2 linked regions of the Caenorhabditis elegans genome follow. The protein of the gene in region 1 interacts with the protein of each later gene in a pairwise test. Each region holds a gene or a part of one and is shown on either strand. Other genes may lie near its edges.

Region 1 (11,939 bases):
TTACTCGAACTAAATGCCCAGAAATTTTATTTTTGTTTTTAAATGAATTTTTAAAATGAAAGACAATAAATTCAAATGACCTACAACTTTTCTGAATATCTCAAAAATGAAATCTCAAAATAGATGATCACTCGAACTAAATGCCCAGAAATTTTATTTTTGTTTTTAAATGAATTTTTAAAATGAAAGTCAATAAATTCAAATGACCTACAACTTTTCTGAATATCTCAAAAATGAAATCTCAAAATAGATGATCACTCGAACTAAATGCCCAGAAATTTTATTTTTGTTTTTAAATGAATTTTTAAAATGAAAGACAATAAATTCAAATGACCTACAACTTTTCTGAATATCTCAAAAATGAAAACTCAAAAAAGATGATCACTCGAACTAAATGCCCAGAAATTTTATTTTTGTTTTTAAATGAATTTTTAAAATGAAAGACAATAAATTCAAATGACCTACAACTTTTCTGAATATCTCAAAAATGAAATCTCAAAATAGATGATCACTCGAACTAAATGCCCAGAAATTTTATTTTTGTTTTTAAATGAATTTTTAAAATGAAAGACAATAAATTCAAATGACCTACAACTTTTCTGAATATCTCAAAAATGAAAACTCAGAAAAGTTGATCACTCGAACTAAATGCCGAGAAATTTTATTTGTATTTTTAAATGAATTCCAAAATATATTTTGTATTTAAGTGTGCAACAAAACTTCTGAAAATTTTTTTCAGTGTTTTGATGGGGCGGAGGAAAGCAAATTTTGAATCGAAAAGAAATGATAAATTTCAGTTTCTGCGTACTTCTGGTAAATTTTTGAAGCAATTTCAAACTTATCTTTTAAAAATTGTCTCCTTCTCGCATTCCCTCCTGCTGCTGCTCGTTTGTCGACAAGTCCTCCACGATCCTCTCAGCTGCTGCGGATCACTCCTTCCAAATCATCCATCAACTTCCTTCGTCCATGAACGACATCAGATGCTCCTGAATTAATAAATTATTAAATAAATCATTTGTACGAGATTTTAAGAAAAAATAACAGCCGTGTGAAGTGAACGCTGTTGAAACTCACAATGAAATCGATAAAAACCTTGGTGCTTTTGGGGCAAGATGTTTCCATCACACTGAATCATCACCAATATGTTATTCCATAATCTGAAAATAATGGAATTTTAAAAGTACAAAAAAACTGGAAACGTGGTGTTCTAGTTTTAAAAACATCACATTTCTTTCTGTTCATTTTCAAATCCTCAAACTTCAGCTTACATCGTTACTCCAATCGATTGACGTCGAATGCGTTCATCGGTGCTCAAAAGTTCCAGAGGTTGAACGTGGATTTGTTCCAGCCAAACAAGCACCCTTCCACCTGTTGCACTATACAGTCCAAATTCCGCTTTGACCATATCAGCAACCAATTCATATTTCCAATGCTCTTCCTGAAATAATCTTCAATTCACAAACTTCTAGGTGTTAGATAAACTTACAAGTCTTGTTTTGGTACCAAATTCGGAGTTTTTCTTCTCAATCTCTTTTCTCTCGAATTCGTTTTCTAGACCTCGAACAAACGACTGCAGTTCCAAGTACTTGATACCAAATTGCTGCATTCTAAATCTCGAACAAACGACTGCAGTTCCAAGTACTTGATACCAAATTGCTGCAGGTTACAAACAGCATATCCGGTCCTCTTAAAATCACACGACTTGGACCATTGTCAGACGGGTTGAATTTGTCGAAACCTGGGGAGATGTCCGTTGTCAAGGTGTTAGGAGGTCGGTGGGGAAGATTCCTGTAATAAAAAATTCAATACAAAAAAATGGCGAGAGGTTCCACTGTTATCAACAGATTTTTAGGGTTTTTCTAGTATCGGAATTGAAAACAAAATACTTACTTGTCTTGCTTCATTTCACAGGAAGCTCATCAAGGCGGAACCCGTTAAACGTCGGAGATACAGCTCCATCCCACACCGTCAGTCGGAGCAGGAAACTACTGTTCCGATGCTCGATTTTCTCCACTCGCTGCACACTCGTTGCCACCATCTCCTCGAATTGTCCAACATCATGGCAGCATACCGGCAGACCCTCCGTCGAAAAACTGTAGACTGATCGTTTTGACGAAAACTACAAGCTTATATACCAAGCCTTATCAAGATGTACTAATTAAAGGTCATTGAAGTTCACTTTTTTGAAAAATTATTTCCGTGTAATTAATTGATATTAAGTTTCATCGAAATTTGAGTTTTAAACGTGATTTACGTATATCTCTTTTTTTGGAAAAATTGAAGGAGGTCCCTATTTGGCTCACGAGATGCGTTATCCCGGTGGAGATTGTACATCGGATATTTGGATTTAATTTTGTTTTTTTAAAATGTTTTGCATAAAAAATTAGCTTGTACATATTCATCACAATTCATTCAGACTTTCAAAAAAAAAATTGAAAGGATTTTTCAACTCATAATGCAACTAGAAAAACGGGGGAAACCAGGCGAATAAATATTCAAAAAGGGGATTTTTTTCAAATGTGAACGAAGCAATCATCATATATGGTACAAAGAATGTGGCGAGTTGAAATCACGGGAATTTAGTAGAATTGCACAAAAAATTATGGATTAGAAAGTAGGAAGAAAATATATGAACATTCGGAATTTGACTCAAAAAAAAAGAAGCTAGCTCGATTTTAATGATGGGGGAAATTATGGGGGGAAAACGATTTCTGACACAAAAAGGCAATCAAATAATAAAAATCAATAAAAATCAATCATATCTAGCGGCTAATGAAGTCAGCTTGGTCGCCACTTCCTGATAAAACATTGCTTGTTTCTTCAAATATGTGCCCATTGTCGATTTCATATCCTCCACTTTCTCTGCTGTTTGATGTTGAACTTCAGCAATTACAGTGTAGCTCATCGCATCGATTCTTTGCTTCATCTTTTCAGCCTCGGCCGACGAGAGACGTCCTTCGCTGTCACGGAACTTTTGAACAGCTTGCTGGAAAATTGTTGGGTTTTGAATGTTTTTAGGCTTTTGCCACGGGCTTTCAGATTCTGTCATATCTTGAAATGGGAGGGGTTAATGACCGCGACGCAGGTGCGAGCGGCGCGGCTCGATCGAGAAAAGTTTATTTTATTTTTTGCCCAGAATGCGTGATTTTTCATTTAAATCTTCAAAATTTTCGATTTTTTCAGAGAATAAAGGTTTTTTAAATCTATTTTTACCAAGTTTTGTTTATTTTTTAAACTTTTCCTTAAAAAAAGAAGAAATTGTTAAAATTTAAAGATATTTTTCGAAAAAACGGAAAAACGAACATTTTCAATTTATTTCTTAAAAATTTAATATTTTTAGATTTGTTATAATTCGAAAATTTGACAACCTCCATGTAAACGCAAAAAAAATCCAAAAAATGAAGGAAAATCACGCATTCTTGGCAAACGTCTAAAATAAACATTAATTCGAGCCGCTCCGCACGCGGCTGCGTCGCGGTCCTGGCAGAGTTTCCCAACCCTCAAAAACTCTTCCACTTCAGGATATAAGGGCCTCTGTTCAGTACCTTGTGCACTTGAATAATATCCGGCACATTTTGCACTGTTCCCTTATACGAATAAAGGTTCTCAAGCACTGGTTCCATGTCATTCTTCGTGTGCGCATCGAATACTTGCCCAATTTCATGATATTCTGATGCAGTGTAGGCGAGAGCTTCTGTCAGGCGGCGACTGGCTGAAAAATTAGAATTTTTAAATTTATCCAAGAACTTTTAAAAATCCAAAGATTCATACCAACGGTCTCATCAATCTCAAAAGATTGCTGAAGTGTCTTGAACGCGCTTCCCATCTTTTGCCAATTTTGTTTTACCGCTGAAATTTGATTTTTTTAATTTAAATTTTTAAAGCTCGAAAATTTCCAACATACGTCCAGCGAAGACCTTCTGGAACATGTTCATTCTCTCCTGCATCACACGCATCGCTTCTTCCGATGTTTTGACGCTCCGTTGGAATCGTTCAACTTGCATATCGCTGGAAACATGTAGGATTACGCAGGATTATCAAACTTTCTGCGTAGAATTCTATTAGTTTCTTACACATTATTCGGATCCAATGGTTGATGTGGAACAGTGATACAGTTCAGGAAAGCTCCACCAATGTATTCATCCTTTTCAGCTCGCCGCTTCCCATTCTTCCAATCTTTTTCGTCGGTGCAACTGATAAAGTGGAGCCAAACTTCCGACTGACTCAACACTGGATGCCTACAAATCTTGTTGACCCATAACTGAAGAATGTGCTTCCGATGATCAATAAGATCCTCCTCGTATCTTCCGGCGACCTGTTTCTCTGGCAACGGTGGAATCGGAATGAGCACATATTTAGCCGATAGCTGCTCGTGGAGCCAATCGAAATGCTTGTAGCGACGGGATACCTGACGCTAGCAAGCGGTTAGTAAGCGTCGAAATCTACAAATTTACCTGAATATTAGTCAAACTCGACGTAATCGAATATGCGATGAAGCTCTTCAGCCCTTTCAGCTTTGACTCTTTCTTCGGTTTATCCACTATACACGTGTAGTACTGTTGAATCGGTTTCCATTGAATAATTCCATTGTTCATCACAACTTCATGTCGTTCACTAATCTGTGAGGTGGTCTTTGATTCACCAATCACGTACGCTTCGACTCCGGACTTTACAAAATTCGAGAATCGATTGATGTTCTTGTTGACCTTATTGGATCCTCGATCAGGTCCACCGTGTTCCGAGTGGCTACGGCTGAGGTCACGACGGGAGTTCGAGCCGATCGAGGATTGAACGTTGGGCCGAGTTGGTTCCTGGAAATCGGAATTTTTTGATTTTTTTTATTTTATAACTTTTTGGACACAAATAAGGAAAACATGCATGCGTTACATAACAACCTCAATAGTTAAGGAAGCTTGATACTTTAAGCCAATCAGAACAACGAGCAGTCCCGTACGCCTCAAACAACACGTGGAGTCAGAAAGTCCCGCTTCGCTCTGATCTACGAAAAATGCGGGAAGTGAGACGCAGACATCTGATTTCGCATGGTTAAGAGTGTGCTGACGTCACAATTTTTTTGGGCGAAAAATTTCCGCATTTTTTGTAGATCAGACCGCATTGAGACCAGGGGTGAGCGGCAATCGGCGATCGGTGATCGGCGATTTTCGTGATTTTTCGGCGATCGGCGATCGCCGATCGCCGATGGAATTTTTCAATAAATTCATCTCGATTTTTAAAATCTCATGTTTTTTTTAAACGATTGTTTTGTTGTTTTTAATTTTTTTTTTGAGTAAATGTTAATTTTTCGTCGCATTTCCTTACCAAACAAAAAAACGGAAAGGTGTTTTGACCGAATAACTCGGTTAAAATAGCCGATCGGCGATCGGCAATCGGCGATCGCCGAAATTTTTCGGAAATTGGTGATCGCCGATCGCCGAAATTTTTCGGAAATTGGTGATCGCCGATCGCCGAAAAAAAAAAAGTTTGGGCGATCGGCGATCGCCGATCGCCGATTTTTTTGGGCGACTGCTCAGCCCTGATTGAGACTTTCTGACACCACTTGAAACAACTTATCGAACAACCCGAACCTTATTCTGATCGTGGTGAGACCGATTCGAGCTCAAACACGAGCTCACCGACTTCTCAACTCTCCGTCGACTATCTCTCTCCTCACTGAGACGTCTCCGTCGGGCGGTGCTATCTTGCCTACTCAAGCGCTTTTTGGTGCTCGTGGAGCGGGTAGACGAGCCCACACTACCGTTTCTTTTGCTAGAGGGGTAGGCACCGTCTGCAATGAGATGTGTGAGCGTTGTTAAAGCCACTATGCTTTGAAAATCTTGTAATTGCACATTCGCGGGAAATGAGAGATCGAAAAGAGAGAAACAGAGAAGCCACGTGGCTCCACGTTTTTTCGTTGCGAGGAACATCATCTCTTCTTCAATATCTAACCTTCCAACGAATGTGTAATAGATGTCCGAATGCTTCGCCGACAAGAACTATTCTAATAACCTTGCTGACTACTCCTCGTCTCGTCGTCAGTGGACATATCCGTTCGAGACCCACTTGCACGATGATGATGATGACGAATCGAGTTTTGATAATTCACAACTTGATCATGGACGGACAGACGGTGTTCCTTAATCAACGGATTACAAAAAGTGCTAGAACGCTGAACGTTTCCCCTAAAATATCTAAAAACGAACCCACGACGGTGAGAACGAGACGCTCGCCCTATGAAATCCACGAATTTCAGTAATAGGAATAGGACGGTTATAGAAGAAGACGTCGGCGTCCGATTGACGCAGTCGACGCATTTTTGCATGTATATATATATATGGATATATGTATATATATATATATACATATATATATATATATGTGAGTATGGATATCCAATAGGATCACCAAAAAAGACTCAACACATGATGATAGTTTTCGAGAGGCGTCGGGTGGCGACAGAGCAAAAATGAGCTGGTGGAGAGTGCTGGGGGATTCTCAATAGCAGCAATCAGGAGAGATGCTTGCACATATAAAGCGCGGGGTGTTGCAAAGAGCAGTTGAGAAGGGATATCCCTATTTTTGAGAAGAAAATTTGGGTTTTTTTTTTGTTTTTCAGGGTGATTTTTTAATTGTATGCGTAGTATTAATTTTGAAACCGACATGAAAAGGTGCTCCGCCCCCGAACCATAGGTCTCGTTAGGTATTGGTGTCAAAGTGTCTCACTTCGGCGTGATCTACAAAAAATGCGGGAATTTAGACGCAGATTTTTCAGCAAATTTCGTATGGTTAAGAGCGTGCTGACGTCGCATTTTTCTGGGCGAAAAATTCCCGCGTCTTGTAGATCAAACCGTTATGGGACAGCCTGACACCCCGTGTATTTGGCGTTAGGTATCAGTTTCGCCAATTTTTGAGAATTTTCCGTTGTTTTAATGATTTTTTTGAGCACGTTTAATACCCAACGAGACCTATTTTATTGGGGGCGGAGAGTTTTCATTTGCAGTGGAGCGGTGTGTCCCAATACAGTTTGATCTACAAAAAAATCGTGAATTTTCTCCCAGAAAAATTACGACGTTAGCACGCTATCAACGAAATCAGTTGAAATCAGGGGTGTGCGGCAAATCTCAAAATTTGCCGAGCTCGGCAAATTCGGAAAATCTCTTTTTTTCAATATTTGCCGAGCACGGCAAATTCGGCAAAGTTGCCGAGCTCGGCAAATTCGGCAAATTCGGCAAACTCGCCGTGCTTAACAAACTCGGAAAAATTTGATATTTTTTTTATGTTTTTTGGAGCACCAAAACTACTGAATTCTTAACACACATCTGGTTTCTGAATAAGTTCCGCGTAGTATGTCTGTTTAAGCATCAAAATAGCTCAATTTTGTATCATTTTACTAAATTTTTGGCTAAAAAATCAATAGTTTTAGTCAAAATTGTACTGTCAAATTTTTGACGTGTGCGGCAAATTTCGAAATTTGCCGAGCTCGGCAAATTCGGCAAATCTACTTTTTTGAAATTTGCCGAGCTCGGCAAACGGCAAATTCGACAAATTCGGCAAATTTGCCGCACACCCCTGGTTGAAATGTCTACGTCTCACCTCCCGCATTTTTCGAAGATCAAAGTGCGAAATGGGACTTTCTGACTTCACGTGTATTAAGAAAAAACCTTTGAATGCTAGAGTTAGTTGGAGTAAAATTAATAAAACCTATAAACTTAAAAAAATTCTAAATAAAAAATCCCAGTTAAATAAAAATGTCCTTTACATTTTGAAACGACGGCGACTGATTAACTTGTAGATGATCTAGAGCGATAAAGCTCGAGGATCGTCCACGAGCAAACAGCATTCGCGAAAATTTCAGCAGCAGCAGAAGTTGTTGTAGTAGTAGCAAATAAATCTGGATGACATTTAAATAGTCGCAGCCGACGACGAAGAGAGAGAATTTCGAATGATTAGAAATGAAATGTCCGAAGAGAAGAGGGTCCAGCGGCGACGGAGTGGAGAGACGACTTCTACCGGAAACCAAGTTGCGGCGGCGACGACAACGATGTCGTTTCCCGGCGATTTTTGAGGAGGATGACTATTCTTTTTGGACTTTTCGTTTGGTCTTTTAGGATATATAGATTTAGGAGTTAGAGGGTATAAATAGGACGGACAGAAACTGGACAATCAAAAAATTAAAATAAAATTTTAAAAATACCTGCTCATCATCCTCATCCGTCCATTCATCGTCAAAATCATCATTCTGTGATGGATATGAAGATCTAGTGACTTCCGGTACAGATGGCGTTGGCTGATGATGATGTTGGGCTCCGTAGGATGGTGGAGCAGCAACTTCTGAAGCGCCTCCCCAATCATCAAAAGGACGCGATGAGGCAGCTGGTGGACCGCTTGAAGTTGGTGGGAGTGGTGGTGGTAGGACCTGGAATTTTTGAGTATTTATGAAATTGTTTAAAAAGTTAGAAAATTGAAATGGGATCTGTGTGTCATGTGGTCCCATCACGGATTGATCTACAAAAAATGCGGGATTTTTTGCCCGACAAAATGTGACGTCAGCACGTTTTTAACCGTGCACACGTGGTGTCAGGCTGTCTCATTGCGGTTTGATCTACGAAAAATGCGGGGATACTTTTCAAGAAAAATTGTGACTTCAGCACGCTCTTAACCATGCGAAATCAGATGAGATGTCTGCGTCTCTTCTCCCGCATTTTCGAAGATCAAAGCGAAATGGTACTGTGCGAAATCAGTGGATAACTCTACGTCTCAATTCGCGCGTTTTTTGTAGATCAACGTAGATCAAGCCGGAATGGAGCACTCTGGGAGCTACAGTTATTACGTATACGTCACAAGAAAATGGGTCTCGCCACGCTGACAACTGTAAATCGACACGAGTAACAGAAACTTGTTGTCAGCGTGGTGAGACCCGTAACCAACTACTAGAGCTCTATTTTGTGATATGGTACGGTAGGAGTACTGTAGGATTACTGTAGAATAACAAAACAAATCTGTTGTGAGCTTTTGTGGAGTCTCCAGCGGTGTCCTATTTGAGGATCGACCTCATTAAGTTTGGTAGCGAACACATGGTGTCAGAGTTTCCCATTTCGGTTTGATCTACGTTGATCTACAAAAAAAATGCGGGAGAAGAGACGCAGAGTTCTCATCTGATTTTGAATTGTAAAGAACGTGCTGACGTCACATTGTTGGGCAAAAAATTCCCGCATTTTTTTTGTAGATCAGACCGTAATGGGACGGCCTGGCACCATGTGAGCGAATGTAAATTTCAAATTGTCAAAATTTACTCTGTTTGGCACCTACACGTGGTGCCAGGCTGTCCCATTACGGTTTGATCTACAAAAAATGCGGGCATTTTCGCCCAAAAATATGTGACGTCAGCACGTTCTTAACCATACGAAATTAGTGGAGAACTCTGCGTTTCTTCTCCCGCATTTTTTGTAGATCTACGTAGGTCAAACCGAAATGAGACACTCTGACACCACGTGCACCTATGAATTTGCCTCAGAATTTCGAGGAATTTCTGAGAGGTTTGGAAAGAATCGAAAAGATTATCTTCTACACAAAACCCCTACACTCTTCGATATTGCTCCACTTTTCTTAAAACTGCTCTTTCTAGACGAGTGCTTCCCAGTGGAATGCTGTTCATCCTCTTCCTCCATCAGAATAGGTGGCTTCATCTTATGCGGTGAAGCAGATGTGTCTTGTTTGATGAGTGTACTACACGTGTGTCGTCGAAGCATCTGTTTGCGACGACGTTCGAGAAGCTGCCGATGAGCATCTTCAGATGAGCCGCCCGGTGGTGTTGGGTAGTTCTCAACGGCCTTTCGAAGACTCGATGTGAAGAGCATTCGCGAAAAGATCGAAAAGTCGGATAAAAAGTAGGAAATCTCTTGGCAGAATGAGTGGAATATAAGACGAATCAGGTATATAGAGCTTCTTTGAGAATCTACTTATTTTGTTTTCAAGTATCTGGACCGCCGTCTTCAAGTGAGTAGGAGGATCCGAACGTCTCCAGGGACCCGAGGAAAAACCAATTTCAAAATAGTTTTTCTTTCTTTTTTTTTCTATTTTGTTCCAGTCTCTTCCGCTTCATCTCACTCCTCTTTGTTGCGTTCTTCTTCCACCATCTTTTTTATTATTCAAATTTCATGGGCTTTTACTCATCTTTCTCTCCGTTTTGAATATTTTTCGGAAACAAGCATCAGATTCAGCGATTTCTAGAGGGTTCCAGCAGCTCAAAATGCTGATGAGAAGGCAATTTCAATCATTTTGATGCTTTTGGCTCACCACAACCAATTTAGATGCTCCCCGCAGAAATGCACACAACGAAGACACACAACGAAGACACACACACACACACACAAAATACAATCAAAACCGGAAATAGATGAGAAAGTGGGTTAACTAGAAGACAAATGGGTTACCGGTGGCGGACGAGAAGCTTGATAGGGAGTTACGTAGGATTCGGGAAAGAGTCCGACGGATCCACGCACGTTTCGACCTTCTATCCATCCTCCGTCGATGTTCTGAAATAAAAACTCTTGATTTTGCTTTAAATTATAGAAAAAAATGGGCTGAAATGATCGAATAATAAATTCTTTTTGTGATTTTTTTTCCATTTTTGGGTAAATTCTTTCGTTTTTCTTATTTTTTTAAAGAGATATTTGAATTAAAACGCCATTTATCAGTTTTTCAGACATTTTTCCGCGGAGAAAACTTGTTCTCCGGACGAAAATTGGCCTAAAAATCAGGAATTTCATATATTGATAAGAAATTTTCAGGAAAAACGCCTGGAAATCTGACAAAACCAATGAATTTACACCATTTATCAGTTTTTTTTTGTTTGACAAAATTATGTAAATTATCAACGTTTGGCCAGATTTAAAGTTTCTGCGTATTTTGTTCGAGGAATCGAGTTTTCGCTTCGGAAAAATGCCTGAAAAACGAATAATCAGTGTTTTAAAACAAAAATTAAACAAAAAATTAAGAAAAAACAGATGAATTTCGCCAGAAAACGGGAAAACGCCGATTTATTCACGCGGGAATTCAAAATTAATTTAGCCGATTGTTTCATTTTACGATTCAAAAAATCCTCGAACAACTCTGTTCCACCTGCTCAAAAAGCCTCTTACCTCTCGAATAACCGTCAAAACTTCGCCAGCCGAGATTGACAGTTCGCCTGTGTTTGGTTGACTTTGAAAATCATACTCGGCTTTCACCTGAGCCATTTCTCTGAAAAAAATGTTAATTTTTAATTTAAAATATTCCAGAAAAAGAGTAAAACTGAATTTTCAGCAAGGTTTTTCAGTTGATAAGTGTCAAAAAAAGCGAGCGAGCAGAGAATATGAGAAATCAATAAAAAATAAACAATGAGTCAGCCAATATTTCAATACACAACGCGGCAACTCGTGATGACTGGTGAAATTGGGAAGTTTTTTAGGGAGGAGGAGGAATAGGTGTCAAATTTCCATAGGCATATGATTAAAATTGTTGAATTTTGGGTGGGAAAGTGCATTTTTGGGTAAAAAAAAACACTGTTAAAAGACAAAATGCAGCAATTTGAAGAATTTACAGAGTGCTTTTTCGTTATTTTCACAGAAAAAACTTTAGAAAGGGTCCAGTTCAATTTAATTTTAGAAAAATGGGAAAAATTCGCATAAAAACCTGACAAAATTAACCTTTATCGCTCGAAAATAATATTTTTTTTCGAAATAAATTCAAATATTAAAATTCCCGCCGCAAAAAGTTGTCAATGGAGCGCACTTACAGCCAAAAATTGTCATTGGAGCGCGCTTACAGTAAGCAATTTTTTATTATTTTTTCAACTAATTTTCAAGAATTTTTCTTTCACAGTGATATCAATCTATGATTTTATACTTTTTTATAAGAAGATCAGCAATTTATTATTGACCACGAAATAATTATAATCTTCC
Region 2 (10,649 bases), on another chromosome or scaffold:
CATTATGCAGCCATTTTCACGTTTCATGAGCCCACTGTACTTTTATGTGAGCCACACTCAAAAGGAAATTGAGCCGAAATGCTCTCTTCCTCTATCTTCCGAATTTTTAACGAATCCTATACTTTGTTTGATTAGTTTTATTTTGAATTTGCCATTTATATTCCTTGCAAAATGTTAAAGCTGTAGTGTCACACCATAGCAATTTGTGGTCTCTTATTCTAAACTTTGGTCATTTACAATCGGTGGAAAAAAAAGGTTCATAAGCTGCCTTCGTTTACCCATGTGACCGTGGGGGTTATGTGGCTGTGCGAGACAAAAAGAAACAGACACATGAGGTCTTCAAAAGTTGAGTTGGATTCCTATGGGAATCATCAAAAAATCGTTTCCGAATTTAGATGGATATGGGTTAGTGAAGAAGTGCGATCTATGGTCATGAACTTTTCTCAAGTAGTTCTGAGTTGCTCAAGCGGAAGTTTTTCATTTGCAGCAAATCGTTTTCGTGTAAATTTGGACTGGTTTTTATTAGTGATGTTATTATTGTTCAAAGACCTATAGTTTAAAAACTATTTTAATAATTCGGCCTTATGATTGTACCGCACACTTTAATTTAGCATTTAATCTACATATTTTGGAAAAAGTTATGAAACATAAGCAAATGAAAGCCGTGTGCGTTTTCTGGTATTTTTTTGAACAACATTCTCAAATTTAGGGTTCGTGGGCTTAACTTTGTTTAATTGCCATTTTATGGTGTTTCTAAATTAAGTAAAAAGAGACTCTTATGATGTAAGCCATTTAAGTTTAGAAGAAATTGCCCAACTATGTACAATAATTAGTAAACTTTGAATCTTAACTGAATATGTCTTTCTGTGGCGTGCGGCAAATCCCAAAACTTGCCGAGCTTGGCAAATTCGGTAAATTCGCCGTGCTCAACAAACTCCGAAAACGTAGATATTTTTTTTAAATGTTTTTTGGAGCATCAAAATTACTGAATCATAACTACTGTAATTTGCCGAATTTGCCGGGCTCGGCAAACTCGGCAAGTCACTTTTTTTGAAATTTGCCGTGCTCGGCAAAATTGGCAAATTTGCCGAGCTTGGCAAACGGCAAATTCAGCAAATTTGCCGCACATCCCTGGTGTTTTTCGAATAAAGAACATTTATAAATTGATTACTTTTATTGTGAACATTCAACTTTTGAAATACTCGATTTTTTTTTAATTTTCCAACACCTGTTCTAATTCCGCAGCATTTATCCCAATGCCACAGGACAGCTGCTTCCAAATGTCCTTCCATCTTGTCAATATAAAACATGGACAAATGTTCAAAAATTAAAGCTTTATATTTTCCAAATTTTGCTTCTTTTTTTTCGCTAAGCATTTTTTGTTTTTGCGTGAAGGCAAGGAGATATTTGAAATAAATCAAATTTTGCCAATTAGACGACTACGGCGTCCCTCTGGATACAAGCCTCAGAACTTCCATGGAGTTTTCGTTTCCAGCGATTGCTTTTGACGTTTTTTTAGGATTCAAAATTTATTCTTATTCAAGAATAGCATCATTTGAAATTGAGTATATAAATCCAATTCAAACCAGTTTTGTTGAATTTCAAACTCTAAGTTGAGTCTTAAATGTATAAACATGAACTGCTCCTGGTATCCTTAACCAGAATGGATAGCGCGTTTAAAGGTGGAGTAGCGCCAGTGGGGATTTTGTCTAAATACACTTATACTGATCCAAAACAACCGAATATCATAATAAAACACTCCAAAAAATTTTAGATTTTTCAAAATATCCGGTCAAAGTTTAGGAAAATTGCCAAAATTTTGTAATTGTCACATTTTGACAGTAAATAAAAAATTTTCAAAATATTTTTGAAAAGTTTTATTGTGATATTCGGTTAGTTTGGCACCATAGAAGTAGTTTTTAACACTTTCCCCCGTGGCGCTACTCCACTTTTAAGTATAGATGACAGTTTGTTTTACAAGGATGTGAGAATACAAAAATTATTGTTAAGCACATTTCATGGCTCTATGAATGTGAATGTGGTTTTTATAACGCTTAATTTATAAAAATGTTGTCTTGCAGAGGTCTCTTCAAAATTTTTGATACTAACACACTTGTGAGCAGTGTTCTAGAACTCAATGGCACAGTTTTCAATAGATATTTGAAAATTTCCTATTGCATATTGTGTAAATTTAGCTTTGAAAATAATTGTATGTCGAAAAATATTTGTTTTTTCCAGTTTTTTTTCAGTCCAGCTATCCGTCCGTCACTATGCAATTTCAAATACTTTGTTAACAAAATATATATCTAGACACTGGTTAGATTTGGAACGAAAACAAAAACTTTCTTCTCTTCCTTTTCCTTTTGTCGTTTATTCTGTGAGTTTGGCTTAGCAAGCCTCCCGGACCACGACGTCGTCATCGGCGCCGTCAGTGCTCCGCGTTTTTTTTTGTGGAGCCAAGAGAAAGAGGGCAGAAAGAGCTTCAAACTGCGGTCGGGAGCTCTAACACACACGTCTTGCTTTTCTTCTTCTGCTTTTGCTCTCCCTGTGTGCGAGAATATGTACATACGCGAAAAATGTGCGCGCGGGGGGGGGGGGCCCCTGCCGAGTAGCAGTGCGCAGCACACATACATAGCAGAATATCGACTAATCGAAAACGCCTCCTTCCTTTTTCTTTTTTCCTTCTTTCTGCTTCGTTTTTCTTTCTTTTTCTTATTCTTATTCTTCGTTTTCCGTTTTTGTTTTCTTTTTCTTCCTTGATATTCTCCTCAGCCTGCTTTGCTCGCTATGGAGTGAAGGGACAACAAAAAACTCAGCTGTTATTTATTCCATGTTCTGTTTTGCTTTACAATTAAAAAAATCAATTGAGCTATTTTGCTAGATTTTCAATACTTTTAAACCATGTTTTATAAATGTTTTATAAATTTCAGAGCATATGAAATCATTGTACATCAACTGATTAGTCACAAATTCATTATCAGGAGTAGTATGGGAATGTTAAATTCGTTATTTGTTTACACACCGCTGGTTCTTAGTAAAATTTTCTAATAGGAAGTAACTGGAATTTGTTTGGAAACCTACAAATCTGTTAATTTCGGAATTAATATCCAAGTTTCCAAATTAGCAGAAATAAAATTTTGAAGTAATATCTGGTTGAAATGTTGTGTTTCTGCTATAAAACTTGAAAAGAAACCTTGAATCCTGCTAGAGAATCGCCTTTGGTCAGAAAATCGAACATCAGTTTTTACTGCAAGTGACAATTTTCAGGGAGTATTTGAAGCCGTTATTTTTAATCCCAACTTTTTAAATGAAAATGAGTATATTTTTCATATTTATGATATGCATATATATATGTTCAATCTATCTGTGTTAGAGCTTGATGATTATTTCGAATCGGGCGGGTTTAAAGATCTGCCAAAAAAATTTGCAGTACTACCCTGTCTTGAAAAAAAAAGAAGAAAAACTGTGATACAATTTAACAATCATGAACATACGACAATTCTCTACAAATTATAATATCATAATGAATTCCATATTTTGTTTAAACAAATTGGACTAAATGAATTTCCTCGTCTCTAATAAACAAATAGAACGTGGAAAAACCTTCTTACTAATCATGATTTCTGGTCACAATTGTGACTCGATATTTGCTAAGATGACGATTTTTCTTTTCTTCCTACGGTACTGATCGGACTGTTGTAAAAGTTTCACAATTTTGAAATATTTTATTTTATTTTTATTTTGCATAATTTCCAAAGGTCATCCATCTCATTTCCATTCTCAATAAAAAAAATTTTTAAAGTCTGCCTCTTTTTATTAAAGAAACGATGTTATTTGCTCACTAACTTCCATTCACACGTTTCCAGCGAGATAGCAGGTAAGTTGAGAGACGCAGGTGGTTAGACTACAAACAGAAGGGTGGCCGGCTGCCACCCTCTCCACACCACTATTTCACAACATTTACAATGAATTGATCTACCCGCCAAATTCTGGTTTTCGGCAATCCAAAACTGTTCGCTTTGTTTTCCACTTTTTCATTTTTCATTTCTCCTCCACTACTTATTTGGATTTTCTTTTTCAAATGTGTCCCGTTTAGTTTTTTTTTGCATCTAACAACCTTCTGTTTTTTTCCAATATTTTCATTAAACAAGCCTCCAAATTCTTCATAAAATTCCTCGTGAAAAGAAATTTCTTGTCGTGGTTACTGCTGACGCGTTTTGCGATGAGTGTGTGTTGGCACGCTCTCCGCCGTCGCTGGCCAAGCCTTTTTCTCTCCCCGCCGCAGTACTGACTGCGAGGCTGACTCACTGCGGTCATTTCGTTTGCCTCACCCTCACTTTTAGTCTCTGCATCTCCGAGTCTCTCCGCGCTTTTTTGTACGCCGATCGTTTCTTCTTCTTGTTTTCCAAACATTCAACACCGTTTTGCCGACAATGATTCTGAATATTTGTTGATTTTGTTTTTTCAAATGCGATTTGAGGATTTTTTTTTCTAATTTTATATTCTATATTCTTGAAGGTGATAAATTTCATTCTAAAACATAATTATTAAACCTCCGAAAACCTCATTGCGAAATCGTGCTTTTTCCATTAAATCTTCTCAATGCTCTTCCTCATATCATTAATCGACTAAAAAAATCGATTTTCAGGTAGTTCAGCGTATAACCACCAGGATCAGCCATGTCGTGGCAAAACCAGGGAATGCAGGCGTTGATCCCTGTGATCAATCGTGTCCAGGACGCCTTCTCCCAGCTGGGCACATCTGTCAGCTTCGAACTTCCACAGATCGCCGTCGTCGGAGGACAGTCCGCTGGAAAGTCGTCGGTGCTGGAGAATTTTGTCGGAAAGTGAGTCACAAGAAGAAAAAAAACATAACTTTGCGAAATAAAATCACAATTTTTTTCCTTTCCAGAGACTTCTTGCCACGTGGATCAGGAATCGTAACACGTCGTCCACTTATTTTGCAGCTTATTCAAGATCGCAATGAGTACGCCGAGTTCCTACACAAGAAGGGTCATCGCTTTGTGGATTTTGATGCAGTTCGGAAAGAGATTGAGGATGAGACTGATCGTGTCACTGGACAGAATAAGGGAATCAGTCCACATCCAATCAACTTGCGTGTCTTTTCTCCAAATGGTAAGCATTTAGAAACTCACAGAAACGCAAGTGCGCTGGATGATTTGAGCATCTGAAACCAGACTTATGCAACTTTTTTTAAAATTTAAATTGCATTAAAGATTTCATAAATTTACAGTGAGTTGCACAAAATCACTGGAAAAATTCACACATTTTAATTAATTCATACTTAATTTTTCAGTTCTAAATCTGACACTCATCGATTTGCCCGGTCTCACAAAAGTGCCCGTCGGAGATCAACCAGCAGATATTGAGCAACAGATCCGTGACATGATTCTCACATTCATCAACCGTGAGACTTGCCTCATTCTTGCCGTCACTCCGGCCAACAGCGATCTCGCCACTTCGGATGCGTTGAAACTTGCGAAGGAAGTCGATCCACAGGGTCTTCGCACGATTGGAGTCCTCACCAAACTTGACTTGATGGACGAGGGAACCGATGCTCGCGAGATCCTCGAGAACAAGCTGTTCACACTTCGTCGTGGCTACGTCGGAGTTGTCAATCGTGGGCAGAAGGATATTGTCGGTCGCAAGGATATTAGAGCTGCTTTGGACGCCGAGAGAAAGTTCTTCATCTCACACCCATCCTACCGACATATGGCTGATCGGTTGGGAACAAGCTACCTTCAACACACTCTTAATCAACAGCTCACCAATCATATCCGTGATACACTGCCAACACTTCGTGATAGTCTTCAAAAGAAGATGTTTGCTATGGAAAAGGATGTGGCCGAGTACAAGAACTACCAGCCAAATGATCCAGGCCGCAAGACCAAGGCTCTTTTGCAGTAAGTGATTTCAATGGAGGTGCTTTATTAACAAAATTTTTGCAGAATGGTTACCCAGTTCAATGCTGACATTGAGCGCTCCATTGAAGGTTCCTCTGCAAAGCTGGTTTCAACCAATGAGCTCAGTGGAGGAGCCCGTATCAATCGGCTTTTCCATGAGCGTTTCCCATTTGAGATTGTTAAAATGGAAATTGACGAGAAAGAAATGCGCAAAGAAATCCAGTATGCCATCAGAAACATTCACGGTATCCGCGTCGGTCTCTTCACTCCGGATATGGCGTTTGAGGCAATTGCCAAAAAGCAAATCACCCGTCTGAAGGAGCCATCGTTGAAATGCGTTGATCTGGTGGTCAACGAGTTGGCTAATGTGATCAGACAGTGCGCTGACACTATGGCTAGATATCCACGTCTTCGTGACGAGCTGGAAAGAATCGTCGTCTCGCATATGCGTGAACGTGAGCAAATTGCCAAGCAGCAAATTGGGCTCATTGTTGACTACGAACTCGCTTATATGAACACAAACCATGAGGATTTCATTGGATTCAGCAAGTAGGAGTTTAGACTTTGCTTTTAGATGTTTAATTTTATTTTTTTAGTGCTGAAGCAAAAGCCTCCCAAGGACAATCAGCGAAGAAGAATCTTGGAAACCAGGTGATCAGAAAGGGCTGGCTCTCACTGAGCAACGTATCGTTTGTGCGTGGCTCCAAGGACAATTGGTTTGTGCTCATGTCGGACAGTTTGAGTTGGTACAAAGATGATGAGGAGAAGGAGAAGAAGTACATGCTCCCATTGGATGGTGTCAAGCTGAAGGATATTGAGGGTGGATTTATGTCTCGTAACCACAAGTTTGCTCTGTTCTACCCCGACGGAAAGTGAGTTACTCAAGAATTTTGCGATTTGATTGCCATTTCAACATTCCAAGAGCCCGCACGCTTTTCTTTCCACATTAGAGTTTCATTAGGCAGAAACACAGGAACACTAAATTGAGCATGAGTTTTGAAACGAGACAAAAAACGCACACACACACAAAATCAATTTTTTTTGAATATTTGTTTAAATTAAATTAATTTGCAGGAGGTGAGTGTATAGTTTACTTTCTTCACTTCTTCTTCTTCTTTAATGACTTGTAAGACAGAAAAACCTTTGTGTTGTCGTCCTTGTGATCTGTTTTCATTTTTTTTACCCGAAAAGTTTATCCACCTTGAAACCAACACCTTTCACTTCTGTAGTCAATTTCTTATTTTTCCTGTTTCTCTTTCTCTGCTGTGACAGTTTCAGTTCAGACAAAAAAAAATACAGCATGCAAAATGCTTTTTAGATAAAAGATTCTGAACCAGCATGAAGATGTAAACTCATGTATCCTTGACCTCACGCACTTGCTTCTCCCATAACCCTTTGAATTCCAGGAACATCTACAAGGATTACAAGCAGCTTGAGTTGGGATGCACCAATTTGGACGAAATTGATGCGTGGAAGGCTTCATTCTTGCGTGCTGGTGTCTATCCAGAAAAGCAGAAGGCACAGGAAGATGAGTCCCAACAAGAGATGGAGGATACCTCGATTGATCCACAACTTGAGAGACAGGTGGAGACAATCCGTAATTTGGTTGATTCCTACATGAGAATCATTACCAAGACAATTAAGGACCTGGTTCCAAAGGCGGTGATGCATTTGATTGTTAACCAGGTGAGGGATTTTAAAAGAATTGAATGATTCATCGTGATATCATCACGGCCTGTTTTTTTAACCGTACACAATAAACCTTAAACTAAATATCTCAATAATTTCAGACAGGTGAGTTCATGAAAGATGAACTTTTGGCCCATCTCTACCAATGCGGCGACACTGATGCTCTCATGGAGGAATCTCAAATAGAAGCCCAGAAGCGCGAGGAGATGCTCCGAATGTACCATGCTTGCAAGGAGGCGCTCCGCATTATCTCTGAAGTCAACATGAGCACCCTTGGCGACCAGCCGCCGCCATTGCCGATGTCTGACTACCGCCCACACCCATCTGGACCTTCACCGGTGCCGCGTCCGGCTCCTGCTCCACCAGGCGGACGTCAGGCCCCAATGCCACCACGCGGAGGACCCGGTGCCCCACCACCACCAGGCATGAGACCACCACCAGGTGCGCCAGGAGGCGGCGGTGGCATGTACCCACCGTTGATTCCAACGTAAGTTTATGCCTATTTTTTTTCGAAAAGAGCACCAGATCTCTTCTAATCTTTCCTATTTTGGTCCGTCATACTCTTTCTTCTGTCAAAATTTTTTTTCTGAAATTTAGAAAAAAAAATACTGTCAACAAGTCAGAATAAAACCTAAAACTAACGTGTACCAACCACTCTAGGCGTCCGGGACCAGGCGGCCCACCACCCAACATGGCACCGCCTAGATAATAATGTTGTGAATAATTCCCCCACTGACCAAAGGTTTGTTAATCGCGAAGAAGCAGTACAGAGAAGTGTATAATTGTTTGTTGTAATCGTGATGTGTATTAGCAGCATCTATCTAGTGTTGTGATCCCTTGGCACTTTATCGGAACATTTTTATATTCCACTATCTTCCTGTGATTTTTTCTACAGAAAGAAGCAAAAGCTAACTTTTCTTTCTCATCAAATTTTTCATAATTTCGTCATTATTTGCATGTTTCAATGGTGGTCTAGCTTTCTGTTGTTGTAGTATTAATCTGAAACGTTGTTTTTTTTTTCAGAAGAGTACCGACACCATCCAACGGAGCACCAGAGATTCCAGCTCGCCCGCAAGTCCCCAAGAGACCTTTCTAAATGCTTTTACATCTCCATCCTAGCTCACTTGTCATACTATTACCGTTCCCATAGTAATTGTACAATGCCCCCGTTTTATCAAGCATTTCTTTTTTTTTTTTGAGAATTTTTAAATTAATCAATATCCCGAGTTCTTCCACCTTTTGAGCAAGTCTCGTTGAGGATTGCATTGGTCCCAGCGCTAACTAGGCGTCAATTCATCCACCTCTCCATTCTCTCTCCCGTTCCAACTGTGTTTTTCTTTGTCAGCGGCGAATTTTCCACAACCAATCGAGTCCTATTTCTCTTTTTTTCCCCCACCTCCCAATAATTTTATTTGCATGTTTTATAAACTCACTTTGTTCAATAATTTATTGATTTTATTTTTTCTATGATTTGAAACTTTACATTTTTCCTACTCTTCTATAGCAATACTTTGTCACTTACAATAACCCCCCCCCCCCAGTCTGCCTATATTTATTTAGATGTTCTTTATGGCCACCCAATGTATAAACTCTTTTAGTGCATTTGTAGGTTCTTTCTTCATCCCACCCAATTCCCCCTCCACCACAAATCCCAGTTTTGATTATTTTAAGCCCATATTTATAAGAAGTAAATATATTTATAGATTTTTCTTAGATTATAAGCTCTTCTAGGTTTTCCCTCGTTGAGAAGAATGATCTGAAAAAGCCTAAATTATAGATTTTTGAAACGTATTGTGTAGAATTTGTATTTATTCGTGAAAGTGGAATAAAGTTAAAACGGAAAAATGTAGTATTAGTTTTGTGCAAAACATTGGCCCTATAAATGTAGATGTAGGAAAGTCTGTTTATTCTTGGAAAAATCCCTAATTTTTGTGAAATTGTTTGGTTTGCAGCGGTCGGAAGCAATCTTGAAAATAATTATCATTTGTAATCACATTTTGGTAATTTATTACGTTTATTTTCTTCATTGATTGGTAGGTATATGTTTTCTTTCGAAAGATGAACAAATGATAGTGAATTGGTGCACCTATAAACGGAAAATATACCTTAAACAATTAATGGTTAAAAAATCCACAATGAAGAAAAGATATTAGAAAATTCCGGTTGCTAAGACATTGAAAAAAACTTGAAAAAAGACTTTGAAAACTTGACAAAATTTGGCACTTTTGAAAAGAACCCATTTAAAACTTAAAGCATGTACTAAAACGAGAACTTTATTTGAAAATTATTATATGTGTATTGCTGCGCTTGTACATTTAAAAAAAGGAACCTTTTCAATTGATACTTAAAACAAATAGAAGTTTTTTAATCCATATCCTCAAGCTTCGCAGATAAACCCTCAATATGCCAAACTCTAATAAGTAGCAATGTAACATGTTTTTGGCGCTGGTGAGTAGGTACTAAAAATTTAATAAATGTTTCCGATTTAAAATTTTAGATCTCGTCAGAATCGTTGTCAACGCAGAACTACAATTCTGGCATACTTTTGTTATAACGATATCAAATACCAAAGAACTCGTCGAAATTGCATACTTGTTGATGGAACCATCCGTTCAACTGAACGCCAGCCAGTTTATTACTTAAATGAAAACTAATTTTTCAATTGATGACGGTTAGTGACTTTAGGTTTCATTTGATCAGCGTAGTTGCTGACACTTAATGGTTCGGGAACATAAAAGAACATGTCGAACACGTACATGACGACTGCTTAAAAGTTGAAAATTTCCCATATCCGTTTCTCATTTTATGTAGTCTCTTTCAGTGTGGCTACTAACGATTTTGCAATTTTACATTATACTTTGTTTGTGAGTTTCAGGAAACTTGTGAATTCGTTCAAACCCTTCAGAATCAGAATAAAAAATGGTGCTTTGTATTTCTTAAATTTTAATAACTTTTTCACGAGCACTACATTTTAAAATTTTGTAGAAGTTGTCTGTTTGCACCCATTTAATTTCAAATGTGTCATAAGTCAACAACT

Evidence for each region.
Region 2: the proteins of lst-4 (region 1) and dyn-1 interact in a two-hybrid assay, tested with the Caenorhabditis elegans proteins (2 studies listed by BioGRID).

Annotation. Positions count from the first base shown.
Region 1 is NC_003282.8:14,058,617-14,070,555, forward strand, and holds lst-4 (Sorting nexin lst-4), read right to left. Parts: upstream 9,855-11,939; coding exon 9,579-9,854; intron 8,414-9,578; coding exon 8,192-8,413; coding exon of another isoform or gene 8,117-8,191; intron 6,047-8,116; exon of another isoform or gene 6,044-6,046; coding exon of another isoform or gene 6,007-6,043; intron 5,786-6,006; coding exon of another isoform or gene 5,586-5,785; intron 4,812-5,585; coding exon 4,455-4,811; intron 4,415-4,454; coding exon 4,074-4,414; intron 4,009-4,073; coding exon 3,905-4,008; intron 3,850-3,904; coding exon 3,772-3,849; intron 3,713-3,771; coding exon 3,546-3,712; intron 2,987-3,545; coding exon 2,753-2,986; 3' UTR 2,389-2,752; downstream 1-2,388. Other genes in the region: Y37A1B.4 (Transposase), read right to left, coding at 985-986, 1,075-1,157, 1,269-1,438, 1,487-1,606. UniProt on the Caenorhabditis elegans protein: Involved in the signaling of vulval development by acting as a negative regulator of epidermal growth factor receptor (EGFR) signaling. Aids in phagosomal membrane tubule formation which is required for phagosomal fusion with endosomes and lysosomes.
Region 2 is NC_003284.9:15,564,242-15,574,890, forward strand, and holds dyn-1 (Dynamin), read left to right. Parts: upstream 1-4,679; coding exon 4,680-4,846; intron 4,847-4,911; coding exon 4,912-5,135; intron 5,136-5,316; coding exon 5,317-5,923; intron 5,924-5,968; coding exon 5,969-6,472; intron 6,473-6,519; coding exon 6,520-6,795; intron 6,796-7,329; coding exon 7,330-7,609; intron 7,610-7,713; coding exon 7,714-8,099; intron 8,100-8,272; coding exon of another isoform or gene 8,273-8,321; exon of another isoform or gene 8,322-8,354; intron 8,355-8,635; coding exon 8,636-8,708; downstream 8,709-10,649.